Macaca fascicularis: one gene and its partners. The protein of the gene in region 2 interacts with the protein of the main gene of each other region in a pairwise test. Links are inferred from orthologs where the notes say so. Each region holds a gene or a part of one and is shown on either strand. Other genes may lie near its edges.

The links.
Region 1: the proteins of RASSF5 (region 2) and STK4 interact in binary tests that used the Homo sapiens proteins (3 or more experiments, as listed by UniProt). The link is inferred for Macaca fascicularis from reciprocal best matches to the Homo sapiens genes RASSF5 and STK4.
Region 3: the proteins of RASSF5 (region 2) and MYLIP interact in binary tests that used the Homo sapiens proteins (3 or more experiments, as listed by UniProt). The two-hybrid records come from large-scale screens. The link is inferred for Macaca fascicularis from reciprocal best matches to the Homo sapiens genes RASSF5 and MYLIP.

Annotation. Positions count from the first base shown.
Region 1 is NC_088384.1:101,076,304-101,079,947, forward strand, and holds part of STK4 (serine/threonine-protein kinase 4), read left to right. Parts: intron 1-3,142; coding exon 3,143-3,257; intron 3,258-3,644. UniProt on the Homo sapiens protein: Stress-activated, pro-apoptotic kinase which, following caspase-cleavage, enters the nucleus and induces chromatin condensation followed by internucleosomal DNA fragmentation.
Region 2 is NC_088375.1:64,329,669-64,333,820, forward strand, and holds the start of RASSF5 (ras association domain-containing protein 5), read left to right. Parts: upstream 1-1,236; 5' UTR 1,237-1,311; coding exon 1,312-1,768; intron 1,769-4,152. UniProt on the Homo sapiens protein: Potential tumor suppressor. Seems to be involved in lymphocyte adhesion by linking RAP1A activation upon T-cell receptor or chemokine stimulation to integrin activation.
Region 3 is NC_088378.1:156,812,317-156,816,519, reverse strand, and holds the start of MYLIP (E3 ubiquitin-protein ligase MYLIP), read left to right. Parts: upstream 1-1,319; 5' UTR 1,320-1,562; coding exon 1,563-1,649; intron 1,650-2,795; coding exon 2,796-2,986; intron 2,987-4,203. UniProt on the Homo sapiens protein: E3 ubiquitin-protein ligase that mediates ubiquitination and subsequent proteasomal degradation of myosin regulatory light chain (MRLC), LDLR, VLDLR and LRP8. Activity depends on E2 enzymes of the UBE2D family.

The DNA of each region.
Region 1 (3,644 bases), on a different chromosome or scaffold from region 2:
GCCAAACTTCCATAATTTTTATGCATGGCATTTGTTTTTTTGTTTTTTTTCAGTTTTTTTTTTTTTGTTTCGAGACGAAGTCTCACTCCGTTGCCCAGGCTGGGGTGCAGTGGCGCAATCTTGGCTCACTACAACCTCCACCTCCCAGGATCAAGCGATGCTTGTGCCTTAGCCTCCCGAGTAGCTGGGACTACAGGCATGTGCCACTACGCCCAGCTAATTTTGTATTTTTGGTAGAGACAGAGTTTCACCATATTGGTCAGGCTGGTCTCAAACTCCTGGCCGTAAATGATCCGCCTGCCTTGGCCATATCCCAAAGTACTGGGGTTACAGGAGTGAGCTACCAGGCCTGGTTTTTTTCTTTTTTTCAGTGAGCCCTTTTAGACACTAGGAAGAAGAGGCAGAAGGTGGTGCTTGTTTTTTTTGTTTTTTTTTTTTTTGTGATAATGATCTTTTTTACTTCCTATTGAGAAAACATTTCTGCAGAGATAGCTAAGAACAGATAATTCAAATGTTTTTTAGTTCTAGAAACCTTAGAATACCAGGTAAATCTATAAAAAAAGAGTAGTTATGTATATACTACTGTCTGTTCCTTCACATTAAAAAAAATTATTCCAGCTGAGAGTACTTAAGTATTTATTTTTGAGGAACTAAGATTTGTCAAATGTTGTAAGCAGGAAGTCAGACCAAAAGACGACCACAGAAAACCACGTGGTTTGCTCTGAAATTCCATGACAACACGGGTTGGTCACTGATAGAGCAGGCTTCCCCAGCACTATTTAGATTAGAGACAAACACAAAGTTAGGGGCAATGCCAGTTCTAGTTAGTTGAAGATGGGTGAGAAATTCTCTCAGTTGAAGCTGCATTCATTCTTCTGAAGGCTTTTTGGTCAGCAGATCAACTTAGTACCCCCTGTTTGCAAAACTTCTACATTAGGGTTTAGGTGGGGTTACCTACTAGAAAATTAGTCCAGAAGCCTTTCGGTCTCACAGACTTGGGAATGTAGTCCTTTCTTTTCTCTCTCCCTCCTTTTTTTTTTCCTTCTATTTTTGTGATTATTGTCTACTAGATAAAATCCCCATTTTTCTTGATTGGATTGACCAGATGAAGGTGGCAGTTTTCCATTTGCTCCTTTTTCAGATACATTTTGGAAGTTCTTTCCATTTGGCAAATTGGGACTTAGTCACTTTCGATAGACTGTGTAGGAGCTGTGTTCCAAACAGAGTATGGAAATGTCTTTAATTAAAGAAGAGATAAGAGTCTACCCTGTGCTAAGCACTGTAAGGAATACAGTGAAATACAGAGCAGAGCCCTTGTGCTCTGGGAGCTTATAGTCTAATTGGACAGGCTAAGTATATATATATATATATACACACACACACACACACATATATATATATGTGTAGGGAGGAGAATCTAGCCAACAATGCGAGACTATAGAGAACATATGTCAGTAGTAAATACTTGATAGTAATGGCCTGCAGTATTTAACTCCCGTCAGTACTGTATTATAGAGAGAGTAAATGTGTTAATATTTACCTTAGTCACTTTTTTCATTAATATTTTGTGTGTGTGTGTGTGTGTGTGTATGTTTTGCTGTCCTTGTGACTTTGTGTGTGTGTGTGTGTTTTGCTGTCCTTGTCACTGGCATGTTTCCCGAGGTTTGAAGAGGAAATTCTGAGTTCTGAGTTAATGAAGCCAATTTGGTTTTAGCATCAGTTGTTATGAAACTTTATTTGACCATGATAACCATCTAGCCAGTTAAAGCTGGCAGTTCTCAAAGAGCACATTATTTTATTTTAATAGGATATTTGATTTTTCTCTGAAATTTCTTGTTTGGTATCTCTCTTCCAGCTTGAGACCTAAAATTCCAGGTTTGATACTGAACATTTTTTCTTTATAATAGGTTGTAGTGTGTGTATGTTTTTATTACAAAGTACATATGACTTCTTAGAAGAATTCAAATGAAAAGAAAAGAAAATCACTTTTCCCTTTGGAGAAATCATCATTCTTTTTGTTTGTTTGTTTTTTTGAGATGGAGTCTCCTCACTCTTGTCGCCCAGGCTGGAGTGCAGTGGCCTGATCTCGACTCACTGCAAGCTCCGTCTCCCGGGTTCACACCATTCTCCTGCCTCAGCCTCCCAAGTAGCTGGGACTACAGGCCCCGCCACCATGCCTGGCTAATTTTTTGTATTTTTAGTAGAGACGGGGTTTCACTGTGTTAGCCAGGATGGTCTCCATCTCCTGACCTCGTGATCCGCCCGCCTTAGCCTCCCAAAGTGCTGGGATTACAGACGTGAGCCACCGCGCCTGCCCGAAATCATCATTCTTAAATACTCCTTGATACACATATTCTTCCAAATCTCTTTGGAGTTTTACAATAATTACTGTTTTGTAGCCTGCTTTTTTGTTTGTTTGTTTTTGTAAACACGATGTCTTCTCATATACTCCTCTATAACATTTTTCATGGATTCATGATATTTTATTATATGGCTATATCATTCTTTCTTTTTTTTGAGATGGAGTCTTGCTCTGTCGCCCAGGCTGGAGTGCCGTGGCACCATTTCGGCTCACTGCAAACTCCACCTCCCGGGTTCAAACAATTTTCCTGCCTCAGCCTCCCCAGTAGCTGGGACAACAGGTGCACGCTGCCATGCCTGGCAAATTTTTTGTATTTTAGTAGAGACGGGGTTTCACCATCTTGCTCAGGCAATCCGCCGCCTCGGCCTCCCAAAGTGTTGGAATTACAGGCATGAGCTACTGCACCCGGCCCTGTATCATTAGTTCTTAAATAAATTCCCTAATGTTGGATGGACATTTAGATGTTATCTAAATTTCTACTTTTGTCAATAGTACTATGATGGTAACTGTTGCTTTTTGAACATTTATAATTCTTTTTTGAGGGTAAATTGTAGACATAGAAATGCTGGTTAAAGGAGCCACCGATTTTTTATACTTCCGTGATTTATTACCCTCCGGAAAAGCTATACCATTTTGCATTCTTATCAGGAGGTTGCCCATTTTGTCCTTAACTATGAATAATTGATCTTTCCAGATGAGGAATTAATTTTTCTATACTTAATAGCATGAATTAAGAGATGTTTGAAGGCCATTTTATTAATTTGTATTTTCTCTCTCTAGCCCTCATGTAGTCAAATATTATGGCAGTTATTTTAAGAACACGGACTTATGGATCGTTATGGAGTACTGTGGGGCTGGTTCTGTATCTGATATCATTCGATTACGAAATAAAACGGTAGGTTTACCTTCTAGAACAATGCAGCTGAGCTAGTTTCTTATGCTATCTTTTTTCTGCCTCTTTTTCAGTACATTCTCCTACTAGAGAGATGACTGTCACATTTCCCCTTTTCCATGGTTCTCTTCCATCTTTATTCTTTTATGTCTCCTAAGTGTGACAGCTTTTTATTTTTAAGAGACAAGAGTCCCCTGTCACCTGGGCTGGAGTGTAGTGGCACAGTCATAGCTCACTACAGTTATAGCTCTACCTTCTGGGCTCTAGTGATCCTGTCACTTCAGGCTCCTGAGTAGCTGGGACTACAGACTTGTACCATCATGCCAAGCTCATGTTTTGTTTTGTTTTTTAATTTTTTTTTGTGGAGACAGGGTCTCACTATGTTGCCCA
Region 2 (4,152 bases):
GAGGAAAGCTGTGATCACTGAGTCATAATGACGGAGCTGGAAACACCACGTTAACACCCACCCGTCTCGCTACCTCCAGCCCAGTGTGCAGTTAACAAAATTGGGGCTGGAGAGGGCCCAGGCCCAGGTTCAGAGATCCAGGAGTCCTCCTTATCCATGAGATGGGCCTGTTTCCATGGGCAAAGGTGCCTGTCAGGAAAAACTACATAATTTGTGGGAACCGGTGCAAAAAGAAGACGCCTGGCCCTTTGTTCAAAAAGTAAGACTTTCAAGATGGTGACCGCAGAGCGTTAAACCAGACAGGAGTCCATGAAGCAAGCCTTCATTGGGGAAAGTGCCGGGAGAAAGGAGATCTCTCTTTGGGTCCCATGACTGAGCCGTCCATACCAGGTTCCACGTAGGGCATTTAGGGGAACTGGTATCTCCATAGTAATTACTCGAGCAGCTCTAGGGAGCGGAGGGTTGGCTAAGGAAGAAAAGCTCCCCCAACCCTTGGGGCGCGGGAGCGTTCTCTGCATCGAGTCCCCCTACCTCCCCCGCACCAGTCTTCCAGGAAAGAGGAATACCCTACCCGGCAGGACTGCAAAGGGAGGGGAAATCCAACCAGAGCGAAAGTCGCACTCGGACAGCTCTGCCAGCCCCAGCTGCGCTGGCTGCATCCGGCGGTCAGCCACGGGACAACGCGCGGCTGCCGTAGCACGAGCGGGGCATTCCCGACCCGCGTCGAGCTCGCCTGTAGAGGGGGCGGAGGGCGGCGACAAGCCGGAGAGAGAAAGGGCCAAGGAGCACTGCCCTTCTGTCCGCACGATCAGCGGGAGGGTGGCGGGCGGACGCCTAGACTGAGGGGCCCTACTGAGACCCCATCAAGCCAGTTCCCAAGCCTTTCCCTCCGACCTGCTCCCTCCCGGGGCGCGTGAGGGTGCGGGTGGCGGGTGGACCTGGTGTTGGGGGAAGTGATCGGCAAGGGAAAGAGGCAGGGCTGAAGGCCGAGGGTCCCTCGCAGAAATGCGCCCTCTGAACTGTACTGTACAGAGGCGCTCCTCTGCGGAATCCTGCAGCTGCTCCAGGTGACGCCCCCAAATCCACACTCGAGCAGACGTCACCCCGCACCGACCCTACCCCTCGGTCCGTCGGTGGTTCCCTTGGGTAGTTCTTCCTGCCACTCCGACTCTCCCCGCCCCCGCCCCGCCCAGCAGGCTGCGGTCCCTTTAAAGGCGCGCTGATGTGGGGCCGCCCCTTCTCTCGGGGCTGCCTCGGGAGTAGCGCAGTCGCCAAAGCCGCCGCTGCCAAAGCCACAGCCACTAGCCGGGCATGGCCATGGCGTCCTCGGCCATCGGGCAGCGCCCGTACCCGATACTCTTGGACCCCGAGCCGCCTCACTATCTACAGAGCCTGAGCGGCCCCGAGCCGCCGCCGCCGCCCCCCGACCGGTCCTCCCGCCGCTGTGTCCCGGCGCCCCTCTCCACTGCGCCCGGGGCGCACGAGGGGCGCAGCGCCCGGAGGGCTGCCCGGGGGAACCTGGAGCCCCCAACCCGGGCCTCCCGACCCGCTCGCCCGCTCCGGCCTGGTCTGCAGCAGAGACTGCGGCGGCGGCCTGGAGCGCCCCGACCCCGCGACGTGAGGAGCATCTTCGAGCAGCCGCAGGATCCCCGAGTCCCGGCGGAGCGAGGCGAGGGGCACTGCTTCGCGGAATTGGTGCTGCCGGGCGGCCCCGGCTGGTGTGACCTGTGTGGACGAGAGGTGCTGCGGCAGGCGCTGCGCTGCGCTAGTAAGTGTGAAGGCAGGGGAGGGGCGCGCGGGGAGACCGCAGTCTGGGGGCGAAGGACTGGTAGGGCCCTGGGGCAGGGAGAGAGGGGCCATTACACTCTCAGGCTCCAGGGGAGCCCCGACCATAAGGAGGTAACCCCTGGGGACAGTCTTCTCCTTAGCTCCCTGCCCTGTATCCTTTAGTGCCTGCCCACTGCCTAGGTATGGTTATGCGGTAGTTAACAGATACCTGTCTCCTGACAGGTGCATGCCTCGGCCCTACACACACACACACACACACACACACGCAGGTTGTGGGGGGTGGGTGGGTGATGGCCTCAGCGACAAGGTCATTCTGTCATCTCCCTGTGCACCCTCATGGTTTCGTTGTGAGTTCTTGGGAGTGGGTTGTGAGACTGCTGTTAGATGACCATTTGACCCTTGCTTATTAGGGTTACTGACAAAACGCTAGACCTCTCCTCCAGGCTCAGACCTCTCCTCCAGGGGTACCTATTGGGACAGGGAGGAGACCTTGTTAGGCTCCGGATAAAGGCAGGCTGTGAGACTGAAGAGAGCCTGAAGTCACCCTGAACCCGTGCCCCCTCCTGCCTTTCGCCTCTGGCCCCTCAAACCTTTGGACTCTGCTCCAATGTTTGGCTGTGCCCTGCCTCCTCCCCTTCCTCCTCCTGGGTTCCTGCCCTAGTCGTCATGCTCTAACATTACTCAACTCCTGACAGGGTCCCTTCATCTCCACAGCTCTCAGGCCCCTCCAGTCACCTCCTGAGCCAGGCTCTTCTCAAAGCCAGAAAACACTGGGCCCCCAGTGTATACATTTTCTGAGCTAATCTTCATTTTTCTTGGGGGTTTATTATTTTTCTCCTCCTACAGTTAGGGGTGCGTATGCCTTTAATAGGTGTCCACCGTCCACCCCCTCCCCGGCATTTGCTCTTGCGTGTTTAGCAGAGGATATCCACAGCCATGTGTTCATGTGTTTACATGATATTTCAAATAACTGAAGCCCAAAGCACAGACAATGGCACAGCCTCTAACAAGCATCTCTGGAAATGGATTGTGGTTTGCATCTTTCAGCAAAGGCCCTTCCCCCATGACAGCAGCCTTACATCTCCCATCCAACGGTAGCGTTGGACAGCAGCAGCGATTTCCACATCAGGAAAAGCCTACCTTTTTTCTGCCTGCAGTCTGCAGCCGAGGATGTTCAGTGTGCCACCCGCTGCAGCTGGCTGCAGGGAAATAGAGCTCAGACTCTAAGCCTGGATCAACTGGAAGGGAAAGATTGGAAGGGCAAGTGGGTGGTGCTCTTTCCTCCACCAGAACTCCCAGTTCAGGTGCTAATTAAGAAGGAAGGAGCAAAGGTTTGTAGAGGTACATGTTGTGGGTAGAGGGGCTGCTGTCCTTTGGTAAATGCCTTTGACTGCAGTAGAATCGAGTGCAACTTACCCTTGGGTGTGTCGGCAGCTTTTGCACTTTCAAGATTCCCTTACTGCATCCAACAACCCCTACACACAGGCAGAGAGCCGGGAGCCTCAGTGAAATGAGTTTTATCATAGCTGGAATCCCAGGAAATCTGCTTCATTGGCATTCTAGTTTGTAGTTAGACTTTGGGGGACTATATCACTTGTTGAAGATTTTGCACATAGTTTTGTGATTTTCTTTTTCTGGTTTGGTGATAATGGTACCTTTGTGTGTATTTGTATGTGCCTGTGTGAGATACTCCATGATTAAATGAATTGATCATCATGTCACATCAGAATTGTCGTTCTCCTTTGATAAAGTCATACATCATTTCTAGTGGCAGGAAGACTCAGGCCCCCAGGCAGTACCTCTGACTTTGTGCGTGACTTGGTGAGGTGTTTTTACTTTCCTGGGCTCTCATGGCCCCCCACATAGTTGGTTTAATACTAACGATGTCTGAACACTGGAGAGAAAGCAAAACTGGAATCAAGGGGCTACAAAAAGGAGTCTCTGTTTGTCATGATTAATATTTAACTAATTGTGAACCTATGGCTGGATGGCAAAAGTTGAGAAACGTTCTGATGTGCAGATGAGGGCTGGCAGGTGGAGACATAGCAGGCCAAACTCGTGGAGCATCTTTCTTCAAGCTGAAGGGTCTGATTCCATGGTGGGGTTGCTTTGTTTTATCTTCATTTTGAAAAGCAAGTGTTAGAAATAGGACTTTAAAAAATCATACTATGCAGTAGTTAAGAGTACAGACTGGAACCAGAGCCCTGGGTTTGAATCCTGACTACCACTTAGTCCCCATGTTACCCCCGGACGTCTCTGTGTTCTGCTTCCTTGTTTAAAAAAAAATGGGGATGGCCGGGCGCGGTGGCTCACGCCTGTAATCCCAGCACTTTGGGAGGCCGAGGCGGGCAGATCACAAGGTCA
Region 3 (4,203 bases), on a different chromosome or scaffold from region 2:
GGATTACAGGTGTGAGCCATCAAGCTGGCCTGAAGTAAGTTTTCTAAGTTTCCATGGCTGAAACCCACATCATCTGGCTTCTGTAAAGAAATAAAAAAGGTAGCCTATGTAATGTATTGGCAAAGAGGAACAAGCGGTAAATGAGTGAATAGTTGTAGACCTTTAATAGCTACTATTGCAGTAATGCCACCTGTTAGGTCAGGAGATGGGCATCTTACCTTAAGACAAGGACAACATCTGGTTGCCTGGGAGAAGGGACAGGCAGGGTATCAGATGCTGAATGAATGTTTAATGAATGAGTGAGATAAGGCAGGAGATAGAATGAGCAACCTGAGAGAAGGCCTGGTGCCCTGTAAGGCGTTTTGATTCAGCAGAACGAGTAAGGAGAAGCCCTTCTGGAGGGTAACACACCAGCACTAGACCAAGACACCTGGCTCACTGGTCAACTGCAAAAACTTTCATACTCAGACTGTTTTTCTCAATGATGAGGTCTTAATAAGGAACAACGATTATGCCTCCCAGCAACCCACTGTGGCTAAGCCTGGTGGAAAACAGTCTTTTTCCTTTCTTTTTTTTTCTTTGAGACAGAGTTTTTTGCTCTTGTTGCCCAGGATAGAGTGCAGTGACACAATCTCAGCTCAGCTCACTACAACCTCCGCCTCCTGGGTTCAAGCGATTCTCCTGCCTCAGCCTCCCAGGTAGCTGGGATTACAGGTGCCTGCCACCACGCCTGGCCTTTTTTTTTTTTTTTTTTTTTTTTTTAGTAGAGACAGGGTTTCACCATTTTGGCCAGGCTGGTCTCGAACTCCTGACCTCAGGTGATCCGCCTACCTCGGCCTCCCAAAGTGCTGGCATGAGCCACCATGCCCGGCCGAAAACAGTTTCCTTTAGGCTTTGGGTTGCTCCTTTTCCTTTTTGCTTTCACAACCGAAATGCGTGCTCGGAGTGATCCAAGATATCTGAAGAACAGTGGCAGCTTGCAGGTGTTTAATCACCGTAAATTCGAGATGGCAGAAAGGCGTCCCCGCCTGGAGCCCCGGGCGATCGCTCACTCCGAGCAGCGTCGCCCAGCGGGCAGAGGCGGCGGGTGTGCTCCCGTGCCTCCTTCCCTTCCCGCAGCACTTGGCGCGCGCAAGCTGCCACCTCCCGGGGCGGCCGGGGGAACTCAGCCGGCGCTGGGAGGCGGGGGCCGCGGTCGAGGGGCGCCGCTATTGGCTGACCGGGCGGGGGAGGAGGGGCGGGGAGACCGTGATTGGCGGGGACCCGAGCTGAAGGGGGCGGGGCCGTTATATCAGAAGAGTCCCTGTCGCGGCGCAGGCAGTTGAGCTGCTGGAGTGCGGCGCCACCGCGGAGGACAGGGGGAGCTGGCGGGCAGCGGGTGAGGGGGTGGCGGGGACGCGAGTGGCGGCCGCGGGGCGCAGGACAAGGGTCCGCAGAGCTGCAGCCTTCGAGGGCCAGCCCTCTCCGAGTCCGGGGCTGGGTCCCAGCCGTGACAAGGCGGCAGCCCTGCGCACACCAAAGAGAAGGCGGCTGTGGCGGCAGCGGCAGCGGCAGCCCCAGCCATGCTGTGTTATGTGACGAGGCCGGACGCGGTGCTGATGGAGGTGGAGGTGGAGGCGAAAGCCAACGGCGAGGACTGCCTCAACCAGGTGAGGGCGAGGGGCAAGAGGGGGCCCCGGAGGGTCCTGCGAGACCGAGGGGCCTCGCAGCGAAGCCTGGCACCCTGGCGCGCCGCCTACTAGGGGCCGGGAGGCACTGCGGCTGCAGCCGGGGAGGAGCGCGTCCCCTCCTCTCCACGGGCGTGGGGCGCGCGGTCTCCTCCTGGCGTGCGTGGGGTGCGCGGAGAAAGCGTGCAGCGGGGGTCCCCAGCGCTGAGGGCCTGGCGCAGCCCGCAGCCAGGATCCACCCCCCAGCCCCCCATCATCCCCCCAGTCCAGCACTTTCCCGGAAGAAGGCGGCTCCGCACACCTGCGGCAGGTATGTGCGTGATACCGCCTGTCGGGTCCCCGCGGCGCCTGGCAGTGCCACCCGCGTGCCAGGATGGAATGGAGTGACTCGAAGCAGTCTCGGGCCCCAGGGGTTCTTGGCAGATAAGCCGGGCCCTTGTCTCACGCTGCTTCTCAGGCTGCTGCTCTCAAATGCACCGTTCACCTGCATCTCCGGGTTTGCGGGGGACGGGAGGAATAGGTTTGGGTCATCTACTGCTCGGTTGTTTTTAAGCATGTGGTTCCTTAAGAATGAGGGAGATCGGTGCCAAATAGCGCATAGGTGGTATGGCAGACAGCAAATGTGATCCCAGGAAAACGCTATACCCTCAACCCCTCTAGCTCTGAGATGTTTGGGAAACCGCTTGTGAAGCTTAGCTGACACTTGTGGCGTGTTGCCTCAATGTGTTTGATTTTTGGAGTCCAGATGGTTAAAATTGCCCAGATAATAAGTCGCCAAAAATCAGCTGTGCAGAGTATGCTGGTGGAGGGAATTCCGGTCATTGGAATGAGACGGAAAATACCCTGTAGTTTTCCCTCCTCATCTTTTGGAAGGCTACTTTTGAGGACTCTTTTTTTCTCTATTGCAATTGGTCATGCCCTAGATGTTAAAAGGAATTATGAGTCTCCATACTATAGGTCGTAGTTTGGTGTCGTTGGAGCCGTAGAACTTTGTTTTTCCAGTTTAGATCAGGAATTGTAACACTACTGAACTTTGTAAAAAGTACCAGCAGTCGGCCTCCGGGAGTCGTTGGGTTTGCTTTGACATGTACCATTTGCTCATCCAGGCTGCATTCCTTTTTGTTTTAGGTGTGCAGGCGACTGGGAATCATAGAAGTTGATTATTTTGGACTGCAGTTTACGGGTAGCAAAGGTGAAAGTTTATGGCTAAACCTGAGGAACCGGATCTCCCAGCAGATGGATGGGCTAGCCCCTTACAGGCTTAAACTGAGAGTCAAGTTCTTCGTGGAGCCTCATCTCATCTTACAGGAGCAGACTAGGTAAAGTGAGCTAAAATAAACCACTGTCAAATAGACCTTTGGTTCCCTTTAGAAGGGCCGCCGCACCTTCCCAGAGATACTCACAGGCAAGTTTGTTTTGATGCGGAGTTCCATCTTAACTTACGTTTTCCATGCCAGTCCTTTTGTTGAGGTGAAGAGGGAGCTACCTACTTGGTCCGAGTGCATTTTCCAATTCATTTTTTAGTTTTTCTTGTCTTTACAAACTTGATGGGTGAGCAGAGTTGAATTCTTAGGAACACTTCAGATAAGTGCTACCCCAGAAAAAAAAAGAAAGAAAAACCACCTGACCCGACTGACTGACTTCCTGATAGCATCATCTAATGCCCGATAGTAACCTCTGCCTCAGCAGTGTTACTATAGGTCATTGCAGACTGTTCTAACAGAAAGCAGGAAACAGTTCCTCTTGGGTTACTTAAACTTGGTCAGTTTCTTCAGCCTAGTGTCAGATTACAGTGTGCAGCCAAGAGTTCTGTTTGACTTCATGCAGAATTTTTAAAGTTTTTAAGTTTCTTGAAAATGTAATTTCATGAACTCTTCTGAGGCTGCTGTAACTGAATTCCAACCCACAGATACGTTACACAGGATTGGTGAGTTTAGATTGAATTTATCTCTCTACGTTGTAAAACACCACCAGCAGTGGTAGACAACTGAAGCATGTAGTCTCATTTTTCACACAAAGTATGTTCTCCCCTGGACTCACTCTAATACTTTTCTCAAGAACGAGCCAAACTAGGAAATTGATATTTAATATTTATTGAAAGGCAGGAGACTTCAATCTTACAGTGGCATATAAAAAATTAAAAAGGAAAACAGCTACTTTAAAGACATAGCAAACTTTGGATCTAAGTTCTAATGCTTTTCATAATTCTTTGGCTGAGAAATATGCCATGCATGTGAAAAATGTGATTCTAAAAATTTTAAGTAATGATGAAGGAGCGTTATCCTTTAACAGTTTTTTACATGACATTTGCTTGTTTGTTTTACCCAAGGAGTGATAAAAACTCATTTTGAAAAACTATTCATTTGAATTTGAAATCTCCACTTTGCCTTGTAATCGAGCTTTAAAGGTTGAGGCAGATGTTTAATTTTGTTTCTGAATGAAGATGGTATATTGAATTCTTGGTACTCCTGAAAATATCTTGCAAAATATTCAAGTGATTGCATGCTTCAGGATGTTTTAGCTGTCTGTATTAATC